Schizosaccharomyces pombe: one gene and its partner. Changing the gene in region 1 together with any one later gene gives a genetic interaction. Each region holds a gene or a part of one and is shown on either strand. Other genes may lie near its edges.

Evidence for each region.
Region 2: of gon7 (region 1) and mis17, a mutation in one rescues a mutant of the other (synthetic rescue), as found in Schizosaccharomyces pombe (one study listed by BioGRID).

Annotation. Positions count from the first base shown.
Region 1 is NC_003424.3:2,410,536-2,418,628, forward strand, and holds gon7 (EKC/KEOPS complex subunit Gon7), read left to right. Parts: upstream 1-5,679; 5' UTR 5,680-5,849; coding exon 5,850-6,071; 3' UTR 6,072-6,237; downstream 6,238-8,093. Other genes in the region: mus7 (DNA repair protein Mus7/Mms22), read right to left, coding at 1-3,435; HbrB family protein involved in TOR signaling Bit2, read right to left, coding at 3,694-4,602; SPOM_SPAC6B12.04C (aminotransferase class I and II), read right to left, coding at 6,247-7,512.
Region 2 is NC_003423.3:3,209,965-3,219,376, forward strand, and holds mis17 (kinetochore protein Mis17 ), read left to right. Parts: upstream 1-4,241; 5' UTR 4,242-4,306; coding exon 4,307-4,365; intron 4,366-4,405; coding exon 4,406-5,465; intron 5,466-5,514; coding exon 5,515-5,721; 3' UTR 5,722-5,974; downstream 5,975-9,412. Other genes in the region: protein Mis20, read left to right, coding at 58-819; rRNA processing protein Rrp7, read left to right, coding at 1,389-1,737, 1,786-2,153; transcription factor TFIIK complex ubiquitin-protein ligase E3 subunit, Pmh1, read right to left, coding at 2,367-2,508, 2,564-3,032, 3,078-3,151, 3,202-3,341, 3,403-3,506, 3,559-3,586; rtc5 (V-type ATPase inhibitor and disassembly protein linked to MTOR), read left to right, coding at 6,305-6,425, 6,478-6,538, 6,596-7,949; SPOM_SPBC21.03C (EVE domain (PUA-related) protein, implicated in tRNA metabolism (possible RNA binding domain associated with tRNA methyltransferases)), read right to left, coding at 8,021-8,460, 8,503-8,527, 8,677-8,687, 8,740-8,983. UniProt on the Schizosaccharomyces pombe protein: Component of the kinetochore, a multiprotein complex that assembles on centromeric DNA and attaches chromosomes to spindle microtubules, mediating chromosome segregation and sister chromatid segregation during meiosis and mitosis.

The DNA of each region.
Region 1 (8,093 bases):
CATTAGGTGAAGCCATGCTTTTAGACTAATTAAACGTGCCTTAAGATGAGAATTATCGACGATTACAATATCCCTAATGCGATTTAAACTGGGCCTACAATTCTCGGGTGCTGCCCAATAAAGACAAATAAGAAGAGTGTGAGTATGTTCCAAAGACATAAAGTCCTTAATTGAGAATGGACTTTCTCGCGTGTATTGACGTGAATGTAAGGGCTGTAATCTGGATACTATCCTCTTGATTGAATTTGTATTTTCATCTACTTGCCTCAAACGGCTTATAGAAATTAAAATAACTTTTAAATAAATTACAAAACATGTATCAAGAGCAGTTACATGAAGATTTGGAGGTCTGTCAAGTGACTTAACAAAATCAGGAAAGTCAGTTGGTGTATCTTCAGATATTTCAGAAGAAAGGTCATTAAACTTTCTATGGCTAAAGAAATCGAATATCAAAAATAGGATTTGAGCCACATCCTCCCAACGCCATTCAGATATGAGAAAATGAATTCGAAGAAACACTGTGCGAAGGTATCGCTCAACCACTTTAACATTGTGTCCGTCCTTATGCATTTTAAATGCACTTTCTGAAACTCTGATTATCAGTGGCCAAAAACTATTGTTTCCTGGTGAATGAGTCGTTCCATTAAGCCCAATTTGGAAAACGGGATTGAGCGTCATTATAACATACCAAATTTTTTCCATTTCTAATATAGACAACTCCTTTTTTTGAAGATCAAAAAATGAATTCACCTGTTCCCACAAAGCATATTTCTTCTTATATACATGAAAAAGAATATGATTTAAAATTGACCAAGATTCCAAAAAAAGAGTGTCAATTACAGTCGTATCTGAAGCTTGAATTCTCAAATTCCGATAACATTCCAATAGACCAGATTGACCAGCAGAAAGAAGTTTTGAAATCAAATCACTTGCCAGCCAGGAAACTTTATTAATGTTTTGCTGATTTCCAAGTTCAAATTCACAATAAAATACAACTTGAAAAGTTTGAAACAACACAGCTATTTTTTCAACCAATTGTGATCTATTCAACCCCGATATAGAAGAAACACGATCATTGACTAATGCATAGGTTTCTAAAAAGGAGGAAGCCAAGTTAACCAAGCCCATTGATACTTGAGAATGAAGAATAAACGCAGAGCAAAAAGAAAGTAGATTGTACAAGTCAACAGTTTCAGAGTTTGTAAAGTATGGAAGATTTTCTAAGACTGTCTCAAAAGTGTCTTTTAATTTTTCGAATGTTTTAAAAACATCATCCTGGATATTGAATAAACAAGAAAAAGCATAAACAGACTTAAAAGGATGTGTGACGATGTCCAATTGAAGAATAGAATTTAACCCTTGGGTTTTTATAAAGGAGTTGTTGGGCAAACTAAGTCCCGGTCTAAAAGTTATGACATTAAATGTAGTAGACCAAATACCTATATTCCAAAAAGGATTTACATCTGTAAAATAATTAGGGTTTGAAGAGGATTGAAAAAAGACGGTGTCAAAATCGTCTCGTATAAATCGTTGAGCCTTCTGCTTTCTTGAAGACTTGCGGATCTCAGTATTTACTTGGGGTACAGCTAAAGTCCCCTCATAACAATCATGTTCTCTTTCCTTTGAGTTTAATTCAATATTGTCCCTAATGTAATGGTCTAATTTGGCAACTTTTTGGCATTTGTCATGTACTGTATGAGTCCTTTTTAACTTTTTGGATTTTTTGTATGAAACGTTATTAGAAAAAAGAGAAGAAAATAGCTTTCTTTTTTTTAAGAGTTCCTCGCTAAAATTTTGAAGATGACTCAAACCGTTATTTGCTGCTGTTTTAGCGTTAATATTTACACTATGCTTTTTAGAATTAACAGAAAAAATATTTCCACCAACTGACTTAGAATCTGAAGGCTTTTTGTAAGAATGAGATTGTTGAACAAGCTCATGTTTACCTGAATACCAATCAGAAAGAACTTGATCAATAACTTGGCGATCGGATTCTTTGTCGAAGGAAAAATACTTTTTGGAATCCATTTGTCTTTTTCTTCTAATCATTTTTGGAATATGAGATGAACTTCGAGCAAACACCCTCAAAAACTTTGGCGCCTTTTTCCCATACGATTCAAGGATAAGGTCTGGTAATTTTTCCACTTCGACATATTTAAATCTATTTTTTTTCATTTTGGTTTTAGTTGTGCGATAGACAGGAATAGTAGAAACAGCATTGGCTGCTACATTTAGCTGAAAGGGGTTTTCCGACGTCAAAGAACTTGATTTTTTAAGAGCGGATAAACTTCTTTTAGGAAGCCATAATTGATCAACCACATCTTCTTTCAACCAGCCATTATCACGAGAAATTGAATCTAAAAACTCGCTGGTGTCAAACCGTGAATCATCAGTTGGTGTTGGCGTAGAAATGCTATTGTCAGAATCCGATATTTCGTTTCCTAATTCACTAGATAGTTTAGCTGTCGATCTAGGATGCAACTTCCGTCGAGCCACACCTTTTATTTTTTCTCCCTCAATAACACTCTTGTGTAATGATGTCTTTTTTTTGACACCTCTATTTTCCAATTTTTTTTTTTCTTGAAGAGTTAGAAATGATGGTGGTAAAACTCCTCGTAATCTTTTCTTTAAAGTTTTCAAATTCAGATCACTCACAGTAGAATTCGATGAGATATTTGTCATAGACTGATCCGAATCGGAAAGTAAAGACTCAGATTCTAAAGCCTCTTTGCTAGTTGAGGTTTTCTTTCCTTCAATAGTAGACGACAATGCGAGGTCATTGTCAGCTGTATTCAGATTAGATTCCTTTGAATGATCTTGCTCAGTATTAGACTCATCATCATCGCTATCAGATATTACAGCTCCATACCTTCTAAAGCGATGAGTAGAGGTCAAGGGTGGTTTACGTGAAGAAGCACGATTACGAACTATAACATTTACAGGTTTATGAGAGGACTTAGAAGTAATAGATCGATCAGAAGAAAAACCATGCGGTACGGTGATGGGTACCAAGCCTATTCTTTTAAACTCTATTTGATGCCTTAAGAAATCGTAAGTATAAGGCCGGGTTTGCTCAGGACGTCTAGGGCGAAAATCTCTTTTAACAACAACCGCTTCGTGTTCGGCATCTTTTTTAAAAACCTCAGTTCGTTTGTTTTCTTCTTCCCTCTTTGTTTCAGCTAAATTTTGATCACTTTTTTCAAAAGAAACATTCCTATTCAATTCGGGCAATGAAGACACCGATGACTTTGTAGAACCGATGGTGGTTTCATTGTTCAGAATTTCTAGCTTATTTTGATTTTTTTCTTTAGTAGCCGGCGTAATTCCATCGTATTCATTTCCACGTTGTGAAATTAAAGACCCATGAGTATTTGACCATTCACTTCCAGAATCCTGAGAGTCAGACACATGGTCAAGTAAAAGGAAACTATTCATCCTACAAACCCATGGGAAAGATGGTATTACATAAGAGGGCTTAGAAGAGTTCTTTCGATTTTAAAAAGTGTCTATATGGAGGTCCTGTTGCATACTCCAGTTAGCAAAATAGAAACACCATTGAGTAACAAGGAATAGGTAACATTATTAAATACCTAACAAAAGCCGCAAATATTAAAAGATAAATTGCTTAAATGGGCTTTAAAAACAAATATTGAAAGTATAAAAAGTCTATCTTCTATTAAAACATATTAAATTTCAGACATATAAAAATTTTAAAGTCAGTTCGTTTAGCCAGTTCATTAGAAGATCTTCGGATTCATCTTGTGGCTTTATGAGAGAAATAATGGAAATCATCTGGACGAGTAAAATCTGCTGCTGAGTATTCAATTGAGGAATTTCAATGAATCGATTTGTCTTTTTCAGCTTTGGCATTACAACAAATTTACGAAACACCCAAATAGAAAACAGTTTCAAATCTATATTAGCACTCTTTTTTAACCAGTACGTTTTCATGGGCTCTTCAAATAATTGAGCAATCTCAAATTTTGCAAAAGTAACAGGCAAAAACGTAGCTTCGATATACGGCAATATTTCTAAATAAAAAATCGACCACACCTCAACAAGATAGTGTAGAAAGGAAGACTCATTGCTATTCATACCCAGCAATGAAATGTCAATTATCAGTCCAATTCGCATATTTCCCAAAAGCTCTTCAAAATCGCTTATTGCTTCGCAAGCGCATATACACCGCAGCACTAAAAAATTTAAATCTTCGATAATAACCTTTTTTTTCCAATTCTTCTTATCCTGTTCGGTGTAACGATGTTGCGGAAATATTGGTCTCATAGCAATGTTTAATTGTTTCCACGCTACCAACACAGTTAGCGGTCTTAGTTTATCAATTGCAGTTAATCGATGCGACATTTTATATCGCTTGAGAATAGAGAGTTTTCCCTTGTCAATAGATGGATGAGAGACTAGAGATCCATTAGAAACGATTGAAGCATCAGATATCGTCTTCCTTCTTTTTTTTTTAGACTTTACCGAATCTAAGTTAGATGTAGTGGTTCGATTTTCATCATTGTGAAACAAAAAAAAACAAGGGCATTGAACTTTGATAGTCGTTAACCCTAAATAAATTTTCCATTTATCCCTCAATTTCATTTCTAGCTTTTTTAAATATTAGACAATGGTAGATTTTAAAAGTTGAAATTCGTTGTTTGCATTTCTGTATCGCAGGCGTAAGTTACGTCAATAGATTCAATTACTCTATAAAAAATAAGCTTAATTTAACGAACTTGACAAAGGCTATATTTAATAACATGCGTCACGCACACTAAATAAATAATACAAAATATGAAACAGTATCACGTTAATTTTCGGATTTCTATTTTTCCAAGGTCCATTGTCGATGACTAAGTTTCTTTATTTCATGAACTTTTTTTTAAAGCCAATTTGAGCATATGCTACACCAAAAAAATGTGTATGGTCGATTTCCATGGCTCAAAGTTGTGAATATATTCATCGCTTTTGTAATACCTGCAATTCTACTATATGTTATGCTACATTATGCTTGTCTATCGCTAAATATCATATGTTAGAATATTAGCTAAGGTGTTTTTATTGGTAATTGAGAATAACTATTCTGTATACAAAAATACCCGCTGGTAACATCTATTAGATAATTACGAATAGAAGCTATAACTGAACTGAGGAACGAGGTTCAGCTGTAGGCAATATTAGTGATGGCTAAAAATGTAATCATATAGAATACTAATAACAAGTTGCTACTTACATTACCAGTATAGTGCAATATAATAGATAACAAGGAGATTTCGACGTAATCCAACGTATCGTTACAACAGATAACAAACTGCGTAGCTGATATAGGAATCCTAATAATATTTTATTCTTGGTATATTTAATAAATAATGTTGAGATGCTAAATCAACAATTCAATGAAGCCATCAATTGTCACAAAGCGTTTAATGCATTTTTAATTATTCATATTTGGTGCTCAATAAGTTTACTAAGCCTTGATGATTTAACAAAAGATTATTGCATACCTGTGCTATCAAAGCCCAATAGTATTTGCTAGTAGACTAGGAGACTTTGGTATAAGATAGTAGTGCTTTAAGAAGTACCTCTAACTAGCAACGCAAAGCCGATAATAACGTGAGTAAATTTTAAAGAACGTTGTTTAAAGTACTATATATTGACAACATATCATATCTATCCTTTACAAAAACTGTGCGGATAAAAAACGATAGTTTATTCCATCCGAAGCTTTTGCATAATATCTATCTTTTTTTTCAATTAATATTGTTGCGGAAATCCTGTTTTTCTGTTTTAATTAATTTCTTCTCTTTTTTTTCTTTTTTTTTTTTTATATACAAATAAAAGTTAAAGCAATGAACAATCTTGAACTAACGTATAAATGCGAAACAGATACTACACGTCCATTTTTAAAAAGTCTTCCCGTTGGGTTTGAACCAGTTGAAGTTGATGATTATTATATTTCCTTAAAAGAACAAGTCCGAGCAATGCAAGATCATTGCAATGAAGAGTTTACTAAGAAAATGCAAACTGAAGGAAAGAATGATGTCCCAGAGGAAAAACCCATAATTTTATAAGCGATTAATTAATAAGGACAGATCGTGTCGAACTGCATAACCATTAAAAAAACAGAAAAATAAAGCTAGACATCACTTATAAATTGCCTTTTACTATAATACGTTTTTGATGGTTTTCATTGTAACGCAAATAAGTATAAATTTTAGATATACATGTAATCTATAGCAATACTATCTAAAAATAGTCTTTCAACTTCTGTAATCTTCTAGCTGCTTCTTCTAAAGTTTCAAAAGTTTTGCAAAATGCAAAGCGAAGGTAATTCTCTGCAACTGGTGCATCTTCATCCGTATAGAATTCGGTAGGGGGGATCGTAGCAACACCAATTTCCTTCAAAATCCAATAACAAAGCTTGAAATCCCTAGGTCGATTGGCTATTTCCTCTGGAAATGGATAGTCCTTAGGTAATTTGAGTTTGGAGAAGTTCGCCATCGTATAATAACTGCCATCTGGTATAGTGTAGGGAATCTCTAATTGATCAAACGCCTTGGCTAGAATCTCAAAACGCTTTTTGTACGAAGATTTATACTCTTCATAGTAATTATGTTTCTCTGCTTCGCCAAAGGCTATGGCCAAGGCCTCTTGACAAGGGCTATTGACAGCAAAACAAATACGAGTATGAGCTGCGGCAGAATATTTGATTAGGCTTTCATCACCAATAAGCCAACCAACACGCCATCCCGTACATCCAAACGTTTTTCCGCCAGATCCAACTGTTACAACATGTTTGAAAAGTTCAGGACGAAGAGTAGCAAGCCTGACGAACGGAACAAAGGAAAGACGGTCATAGACTTCATCAGACACGACTAATAGATTGTGCTTTAATACCAAATCGGCAATTTCATTCAATTCTTCTTCCGAAAAGATCTTGCCTAGAGGATTGTGAGGTGTATTAATTACTATCATTTTCGTCTTTTCTGTAATAGCATTTCTTAACTTGTTCATATCCAGCTTCCAAGCACCTGCAGATACCGGTTTCACCGATCCTTCCTCAGGAGGTATAATAGGTACATAGACAGGAACTCCACCGTTCATGGTAATATTAGATATATATTGATCAAAAAATGGCTCCATAACTATAACTTCGTCTCCTGGGTTTAAAAAGGCCGCAAAAACACTAAAGAACCCTTCATTTGCACCTGCCGTTACTACAATTTCAGTGTCTGGATTTAAAGTACGTTTGAAATAGGGAGAATACGCTTCTGATAACGCTTTTCGTAAGCTTGGCCTTCCGCGAGTGTGTGAGTATTGATTGCAAGCAACCTCGTCGATAGACTTCTTGGCAGCATCCAAAACAAACTTTGGTGGATTATAATTGAAAAATCCTTGACTAAGTGATACAGGAGGAACTTTACATTCAGCTGTTGCTTGATTCACTAGGGTCCATACATCAGGACGGCTTGCAGCGACTTTGTTAGAAGGCCGTATACCTCTGAAGGCCATTCCTAAAAACTTGCTATTTCTGAACAGTTTGAAAAAAATTAAAAAAATCACTGCCTAATATGGCAGATCTAATACACCGGGGTGATTGTACAAAAGTGATTTGTATAGTTTGGTAGGTTATCTTAAATATTTAGACGCGGATCCTCTTAAGCAGCGATTACAAAGTAGATGGTGAGCAATAAGCACGTAATATTACTGGCCAGGTTCAAAAAGAATATGCGCATACTCATATATATTTGTACATATTTGTTTACTAAGAATAAATAAATTGCTGATAAAAATCGGCGACAGTTATAAAGTGTAAAGCAACAATTTATGAGTTTTATCTTTAACAAATAGAGCTACCATACAACTTTTCAGCTTATATATTTCAAATAAGCATCAACTTTGTTGCAATATGCTATTTATTTTCCTTTTTTGTAAATTCGTGACATACATGTTTAGGTTATACTCAATATTACTCATCCAAAAGCTGCAGGTTTATTTAAATGTCTAAGCGAATATGCGAAGTGTTATTACTTTTTGTTAATCTCATTACAACCACACAGAAAAATATTTAGTAATTAGATAATAGGATTATA
Region 2 (9,412 bases), on another chromosome or scaffold:
GTTAAACTTCATTTTAACCTAAAGTCATATCTTTAAAAAGATAAATCGCATGGCAAAATGTTGGAACAAAGTGAATCGCACGCGTTCATAAATAATGCACCAAAAGAAGATCGAATCCAAGTGAAATTTGAACAATTATTTGAATCTCTTCCTTTGCCATTGCGAGCTGAAGAAGCATTGAGTAAACTAAGACATGATTCTGCAAGATTGATGATATTAAAAACTTCAGATCCTACGTTAAATATGTCGACTTATAGTATAGAGGATTCTCCGATGGGCTTTGAATGCTTAAAATATAATTTAAGTGACAATAATAAATTACTTTCACAAAATAATTACCGATTACCAGACTATTTAGAAGAGGATGAAATAGTCAGCTATACTTTTTCAAAAACCGGTCCCACTACTTCAAAAAACAAGCATCCATCACATTCTAATACAATTAGATCACCTCCTTACAAAGTGAAAAAAGAATCATGTCATACAGAAATCAACAACGTGTCTAATGTTTCTACGGAAAGTATCAACGTTATTGATGCATCGAGGGGTTACTCGCCTTACACATCAGTGGATTCTCTTTCTGTGAGTAAAAACCGTTCTTTCATATCTCTTGAAGAATCAGCAAGTAACCAATATGATGCTGCAGAAGCTTTTTATTTTAATGCAGACTCATCCTCACCGTTGAGAAAACTTAGCCCTATAGAGCTTCCTGTGACTCCAATAAGACGCAAAACCCCTACAATTAACCCAAACTCAGAACTTAAAAGACTTCAAACTTTTGGAAAACTGATTTTGCATAAGGGAAGTCGTAGAAGGTAGTGAGTCCAATCGAACAAGAAGTATACAATAACGTTTCTTTGTTATTACGAAAAATTTTGAATGACCATTTTATAATGCAAAAAGTTACCTTAAGCGTGTGCAGTAATTTATTCAAATATCAATAATCCTTTTAAATGACTATACCGAGCACTATACTTTGTATGAGTAGGCTATAAGGATCTTTTTTAAAAACGTTTATCTTGGTTAGGAACACTAAATGCAATTAGCAACCACGCATATCAATATAGCTGTATTTTTTTATTAATTTACAATCCAACACCTCTAGCTCCCAATTCAATTATTACATTGCTTTTTGGAGCTTTTATTTAGCAGCAAATAAATTACAAGTTGTATAATTACATTTTTTTTTTAATCCTAGAAAATAAGCAAATCTTAGTTTAATTTTCGCTTATTCTAACATTCTTAATGTATATTGTATATAATAATAATTATAGTCACAACGAGATGAAGTATGCGAAGGTATAAGAGTATACAGCTCCTATGGTCTTGCCCTCGGTCAAGCTCAGTAACAAATTGCATTTTACCCAAGAACCAAACAACTCATATAAATGGACAAGCTCAAAGAAAAAGGGTTTGTTAAACTAGAAATTTATTTGGAAAATAAAAAGAGGTTGCATAGTATATTTTTGAAAGAAGACACGGAAGATGTTGAAAAGAAGTCACTGTATTTGATTAATGTTCCTATCACAACTACTGAAAAGATTTTGAAAAGAGCAATTTCTCAATTGGGCGGTCGTATCGTTAATATCTATCCTAATATTAGTGGCCTTTTGAAAAGTGGCACCCATTTACGCGTCAAATTAGTCGAGCCCGCTGAAGTTAAACAAGTTATCAAGGCAGCTTCTAAAAAGACGACCTCGCTTCCTTGGAAGTTCACACAGCATACTGGTTTGAAACGTAAGAACATGGTCATTATTTTTTTGGAAATACTAATGTGTTTAATAGGTTATGTAGAAAGTTATGATAGACAGTTTGTCAATCCACGTGTTCTAGCCGAAAGTGTTGATTCATACATGAAACGTGTTACTAAAAAGGAAATAGCAGAAAAGAGGAGACTATTCGCTATGAAAAATCAACCTGATGAAGATGGATTCGTAACGGTCGTTCGCAGCGGCCGGGCACCTGTCGGGCGACCTCAGGATGCTGAGCGTCAATTGGAAAAGAAAAAAGACACTGGGATCCACAAAGATTTTTACCGTTTCCAGCTTCGGGAAAAGAAAAAGAAGGCTCTTTTGGATTTAGCTCATAAGTTTGAGTTCGATAAACAGCGTATCCAACAATTAAAAGAAAAGCGGCAATTCAAACCGTATTAATATTATAGGTTTTAATCTTTTTGGGAGCATCACAAGGATTTGTTTTAGTTTGTATATTTTAGGGATAATGGTAATATACAAAGGCTATGATTTACTAATACAAAGAATAAAGTATACTTACCACAAACGTATATAAATATATTAGTATGAAAATGGAATAGTCGTTTACTTAAAAATGAAATGTAACTGCATGGTGAGAGCATTAAAGCAAGACTAACTTGCTACTTCAAGTTTTTTGAGACTTTCTAAATCGTAATCAATGCCACTAAAAGCCTCATATAAGCATCGCAAATGACAATCTTCTATACGGAAACCGCATTTGCGGCCTGGTTCATGCGAAACTTTTTCCAAATATCTAATCGAGTTGTTAGTATGATATTTATGGGTGATGCTACAAAATTGACACTTACAAATCTTGATAGGTGTTTTTGGAGTATGAAAAATACTTGCTCCCATCTTTTTCTCCAGCAAGAGGACTAAAAGGCGTAGTATCCTCTGCTACTTGCTGAACATCAGATAGAAGAATTGAAGATGAACGTGAAATGTTTGAAACCGAAGAGGCAATGTTTTCTTGTTGCTTTTTAAGGGAATCAGATAGTTGGATAATTTTGTTAGGATCTTTTCCTGATGTAGCTAAATCAAAAATAATTTGTTGCTCAACCTGTTCACGTCTTTCCTTTTCTTTTTGATGCTCACGTATAGCCGCTTCTCTTGCTTCTTGCTTTTGGCGTTTGAGAAGAATCTCGTTTTGAGCCAAAATGCGTGCTTCTGCGGCGGCTCTTGCAGAATTTGCTGCTATAGAATCTCGATTTTGTTTTTCATATTGTTTAACTTTTTCCTCAGTTTCTTCAACGTCGATTTTATAAATCAAATTAAATGCTAAAAAAAATTGTTAATAAAATTCTGACGCTGTCAATAACATACTTAAAATTTCAACTTCTTCCAAGTAGTCATTGTAAGCCTGCAAGCTGTCAAATTCTTGCTGTCCTTTGTTAAAGCTAAAAACGCACGTTAGAGTAAATTAAAAAAAAAGCTACAGTGTTCGTACATTCGAGATATCCGCTTCCGAACATCGACTTCGCGCTCAATTTGAGCATCTTCAAATGTTTGCTCTCGAAATTTGGCTTTTCTGAGAATTTTGTTGCACCCAGGAGTAGGGCATTGAGCAGGTCCAGTTGTAAATATTCTCTATGAATTAGCAAATCATGCTTCATTTCTTATTTGTATTAACAAATGCAATCAAACATACGTCTACACAAGACTCACACATCTTGTGATAGCACTCAGGGTTTATAAGTAATTTCATATTTGGATTTAAATATCTGTCCGCCTGGCACAACGGACATTTTTCATCTATATGTCTCGGTCAGCTTTAAAATAAATCAGGTAATTAATTAATGCTTACCAACTTTCCTAGCACCTTCATCGTCCATCTTTCTTTTATAGTTTACTTTTATTAATTCGTATTATGCAGTGAACGGGAATGACAAACGATAAATTCAAAGTTTCAATCGAATTTATGTTGAATAGTAAACGTTACTTTTCGGATTGTATAAAGAAATAATATTTGGACAAAAAAAGCGCGCAATACGTGGTGTTAAACTTTTAGAAGTAGTCGCCTTCAATATTACAAACACGACGACCATCAACTCATTCCCTAGCTACCAGCTATCTAAAGTCTTTTGAGTCCAAAAATACGAAAATTTAGATTAATGTAATAATAATTATTGAACCAACATAAATATTAACTAAATTTGGTTCCGTTTGTCGTATAACTTGGTAATTTCTATGTATACGGGCATGCAATCAGAAAACTTAATGGACATTTACTAAATTTGATCAGTTTGTTAAAAAATAAAATTATCTATTTTATTCTCACATAGGAGTTTGGAAAATTTTCAATAGTTACGAACTTGAATTTGAATGTTTTATATATATGTCGAACATTTAACTATTAAACTACATAGGTGTAATTTGTTTGCTTTATGAATACGTAGTTTAAAATATATGGTGTTAAAATTATTATTTGGGCTGTACAAAGAATAGCTAAAATCAATTCATGACTAGAAAGAAAGGCTGGATGAATTCGTCAACTACCAAAACCCCATGTTTGACTATACGCGTAGAAAAGCAAAAATTTTGCATGAAATATTATGGAAAATAACTCCCATAACGTAGATGAGCGACGAGCAGCACGAATGCGTGGAGCTGAGTATGTTATTTCAAAACTTTGTAAAAATTAACCAATGTAGACGCTACAAAATTCAAAATGTTGAGTTTTCATTAGATCAAAACCTTCTGGCCAATTTAGAGTCATCTACTTCTAGTTCAACTCGTTCTTCGCCTGCTTCAAACCAACAAAACCTTGAAATTGTATCTCAATCAGAGGCATATCATAAAATTAGCGATTTGGATGACAGTACATCTATTTTTTCTATTTCCGATCAAGAAAATATACTTGAAAGAAGGATTTCTGAAGAAGTAGTTCGGGAAAATTCCGTTTCCAGCATCGAAAATGTATCTTCATCGGCTGTCGCACGTGAGACGCAGAGTAGCGCAAATATTTTAGTCAAAGACAATCATTTTTTTTCTCATAAGCAGAAAAAAATACAAAGGGAATCCATTCCGTTTCACAAACGTGATAATATAGAAACCTCTGATGCATATAGTTCTTCAATCCTAGAAAATTCACCACCTAACAAAGTACAAAGGCTGTCATCTCTCGACTCATCTCAAGATTCGTTCCAAGAGGAACATCCAGGCAATGTGACAGGAACAACATTTAGTTCTCAGGCCCCTGAAGAGCGAATTGCTTCTCCTATCTCCACTTCTTCTCCGGAATCTTTGACGAATCAAAGTAGTAGTCTGCAAAGTTCCTTACAGACATCATCAATGGCTCCTAGAAATCTTTTGGATCAATCAACAGAAAAGGATATTGTAGTGGGAGCCTCAGATGAGCTCGTGCGTATCGAGTTAACCAAACTTTCTAAAGAAGCAGGAGGGTCAAAGACTCTTAATGAGCTTGATGCCGTACAGCAATTTTTTCAAGAATTTATAAAAGAGAATGAGCCACTAGAACCCTATGTAGTCAAGGTAAAAAATGCGTTTGTGGAACAAGTTTCTATTCGTTTACTAGAGTTAATAGACTTGCTGGACGCTAATCGAATTTTATCAACAGCTTGTAAAAAAGCAGCAAATGAGAAACTAGCTGTTCAACGGGATCTCTCGAAATTGAGGGAAGATCGACTATCAGTGCAACGTAAAAAAATACAGTTACGAAATGAGTACATTAAATTGTCCCATCAACAAAACGTACGCATAACATTGGCTCTTTAATTTACGCTTAACTAACTTAATATAGTTTTTGGATGATATTGACGATTTCTTCTCACAATGCGAAACAGTGAAAAACGAATTAGAAAATGTAACCACAACTCCAAACTCTACCGAAGCTTTTTCAGAAATAAATGAATATGCGTCTGCTTTATCAAAAAATTATGGACTCGAATCGCAGCTAGTTGAATTACAGTCTTTACTAACCCAATTTTATCAAAAATTCCTTTCCTAAAAGTTGCCATATCGCAACTTCTCCGCTGTCTTTCTATCACCTTTTTGTATAATTTTTCATTTCGGTGCGTCTGTTTGGGAAATCGGCTGGATTTCTACTGTTTCTTAAAGTTTTGCTTTTCTTGTGTTCTAAACTACCCTTTATCTTTTGCTAATGTGAAAGCTTTGATTGGGTTTTTGTATATAAAATTTTTTGAAATATGAGTATATGAATATATGAATGTATAATAAATGGCATGTCATTATTACCCCAATTTTCTATTTCGACAGCATTTCCGTTTTAAATTGTATGCTGCATAATTTTCTAGTAGAAATTCGACTTTTTCGTCACTAACTTGAACTGCTTACACTTACAATTGAGCATGTATTTTTTTAACAAGTTAGGAAAATAAAAAAAACAAAAAAATGCAAAGGAATTTGCTTCTAAATGGATATCTTTGTATATCGCGTTTGTTTTCAATTTAGATGAGTATTAAGTGCAATATTAGTTAACTTGTAACTTCGTTTAGCACAACTCTATTTTCATAGAATATGAAGTCATATTCACTACACTCTGAATCACGCCGAAGATACCCAGCCCAAAAATGGGTCAAAAGGAGTCCCAATTTAAAGTTCTTTGGCAGTTACAGACTCATGAAGAATATATGAAACAAACTTCTTCTTTCTTACGAGACTTTAATGCTTTAGAACGGTATAATTTAAAAGGTTTGTCAATTTTCGTAATTTTGTTTAACAAAGCTAATGATTTAATAAAAAGAGAATTTCGAGGCTTTATCAAGCTTTGATAATGGTGAAAAAATTTGGGTTGAGGATGCCTTGTATGTTCGCTTTTAAAGGTATTGTTGAAATTGTTCATTCTAACAAAGGTGCTTTAGCACGACGTTCTTTGGAATTCCAGACGTTATCCAACTTTCACCATTTTTTTATCGCTCCGCTTGTAGTTTTGGAAGGGATCTTAATATCAATAGGCAACGTCTTACATTTTCTGCTCTCGCGAGATTTCTTGCTTCTTACACTGGTCGCCACAAAGATGTTTGGAGTGATTTTGAGAGCAATTTGATGATCATAGCAAGTTGGTGTGACTCTTTTCCAAAATTTAGAGTAGAAGTTTTAAAAAATTCTAAACAAATTTCGCGGTTAATACATAGTGATGTTCAGAACATAAGCAATTTTTTTGATCAAAACTTCGGTATACGGAGGTCAAATATTTATCAGCTATGTTTGCTGTTACTTTGCATTTCTAAACTTAAGCCTGGTGAATCGGTTGGTTGTCATATTAATTCGTTTTTGGACTCTATGTTTGTGAAAGAACAAAAAGCTGCCTTTTATGTGCTACAAGGTATAAGTCCGGATATATCTAGTAATATTATAAAACCGAGTTATTTACTTCATTTTCTTGAGTCAAATCCATATTTCCTTAAATCTCTAGGATCTTTATTTGAGTTGGCACTATTTCCGCATTCAGCTCACAATCAAAAAGTGCAAGATGATGTGTCACCGTTAAACGACTTTGCAATTCTGAGCCCACTTATCCATGCTCAAATCTGTTTTTTTTTACCCAAATCTGTATGGCAGGTCAATGGCTTGACAAGTCTGTTTAGAGCAAGCTTTCATGGTTACTCAATGTACGCACTAGAGAGAAAAATGTGTAATTATCACAATCCTTCGATTCTCTTAATTAAAGCAAAGAAAATCAATGCCAATCACAAATCCTCTTCTAGACCAATATCATTAGATGCTACAATTCCGAGAAAATATCCACCACACTGCATTGGGACTGATAAAGCTGTGCCTCAAAAATTTGGTGCAGATTTTCACAATGAAAATATCTTACTTGGTGCTTATATATCCACTCGTTGGAGACAATCGCATATGGGATTTTTTGGAGACCATTCAACATTATTATTTCAACTTCAGCCTATACATCAAGTTTATTACGCTTCCAATCTTGATAAAAATTACTGTATGTTCGACAAAAATGTTGGCCTGGGTTTTGGCCTCAGCCGTCATAAAGTGACTAACAAAGTGCAATATGATGTACCCGGAGTATGCATGTATATTGATGATGGTCTAGAGTATGGATTATTTAGACATGCTGGTGATGGAGCATTCAAGCCTGCGACAAATTACGAAAACTTTGAATATGAAGAAAGATTTTTAATTCAAGACTTAGAGGTCATAGGAGTTGATACTACAAAACCGGTAGAGCCAATCCACATCGGATTATAATGGACGCATATTGGAAAAACGATCATAAATATTAGTATATATATATAATTTTTTGTCAATAAGAAAAAAACTTATAACGCATTATCCTTTTGGCTTCTAACATCTTTTATTCTGCTCCTTTTAATGATATCCAAAGATGCATCGTTCTCACTAATCGAACTGTACGGACTTTTTGCTTTGTTTTCACCATCAGAAAGATTTAATTTCCTCTTCCTTTTTGCAACCTTTTCTTCTTCCTGAAGACGAGCTTTGATTATTTCTTCGGGCTCTGGTTGTTTCGACAGTTCATGAATAAATTTCCACTCTTCAGGTTTTACTCGTGAGATACTCAACCTCGATCTATTTAATAATTCCATGCTTTTCAGCTGATTCTCCTTGTGCATTTTCAATTCTCTCAACGTAACTGGTCGATCTAATTTGTACTCTGATTGTACACCGACAGAATACCATCTAGGGTTTTGCGGAGTAGATTTTGGATCATAATAAGGATCATTAGAATTCCACGCTGAGTCTAAAACTGTTAATGATCATTACATTTTAAAATACACTATACCATCGGGATGAGAATTGGAACAAATCTACAAGATAGTTAGTACAGTTATAAATACCACGAATAATTCTTGTCTATTATAATAGATATAGAATTCATGCTCAAAGCTCTATTACAATTCTCCGTATTCGAAAAAGTTCGTCTACTAGATATTTGTAATAAAAATGTGATGCTTACTCTCATCACCCCTAATTTATAAATAAAGTTAGCTGCTTGTTCGGAAAATAACTTGGCACAAACCCTTAATATGAGGAAATTTGCAATTTGAACAATACAGGAAAGCGTAGTCTCCTATCTTGATTTCATCCCGAATCATGTTTCGAGCTTCATAGTTTCGAACACCACTCCATGATTCCATTTTCCCATCTTCTGTAATTTCCTCTAACATTTCAAATGTAAAAGCTACGTTTATGCCTTTTACATATCTAGGCTCTCCTTCGGCCTTCATAAGCCAATAACGCCTCTTTTCTGCATCTTCGGTCATTGCGCCTATTCTTTAGAAACCAAAATGTAAAAAAATGTTAAGTTAAATATAATTACGTACGTATGAAGGTTGTTAAGTTAAATGATGGGAGTTAGTGTTATAATTTCAAGTGGATGTCTTAGACACACTAATGTTTCGACAGCCAGAATTCCGTTTTACTAAATTAAGACGTACCAAATATTTTTTCGGCATTTTGAAACAAAGTAAAGTATTAGTTGCTATCTTTCTATATTAGAAATCTAAAACGTTGGAGCATTTATAGCTACTTACGCTACCCGAAGTTCCACTTTTGTGACAATTTTATTTAAGTAGTTTATGAGATTAAATATCATATAGATTTCATAGACATTAAAACTATTGAACGATATGAATAACCATGTATACATTAAACAGCTGGAACGTATTTTCTAAAACGTTTACGAACTCATA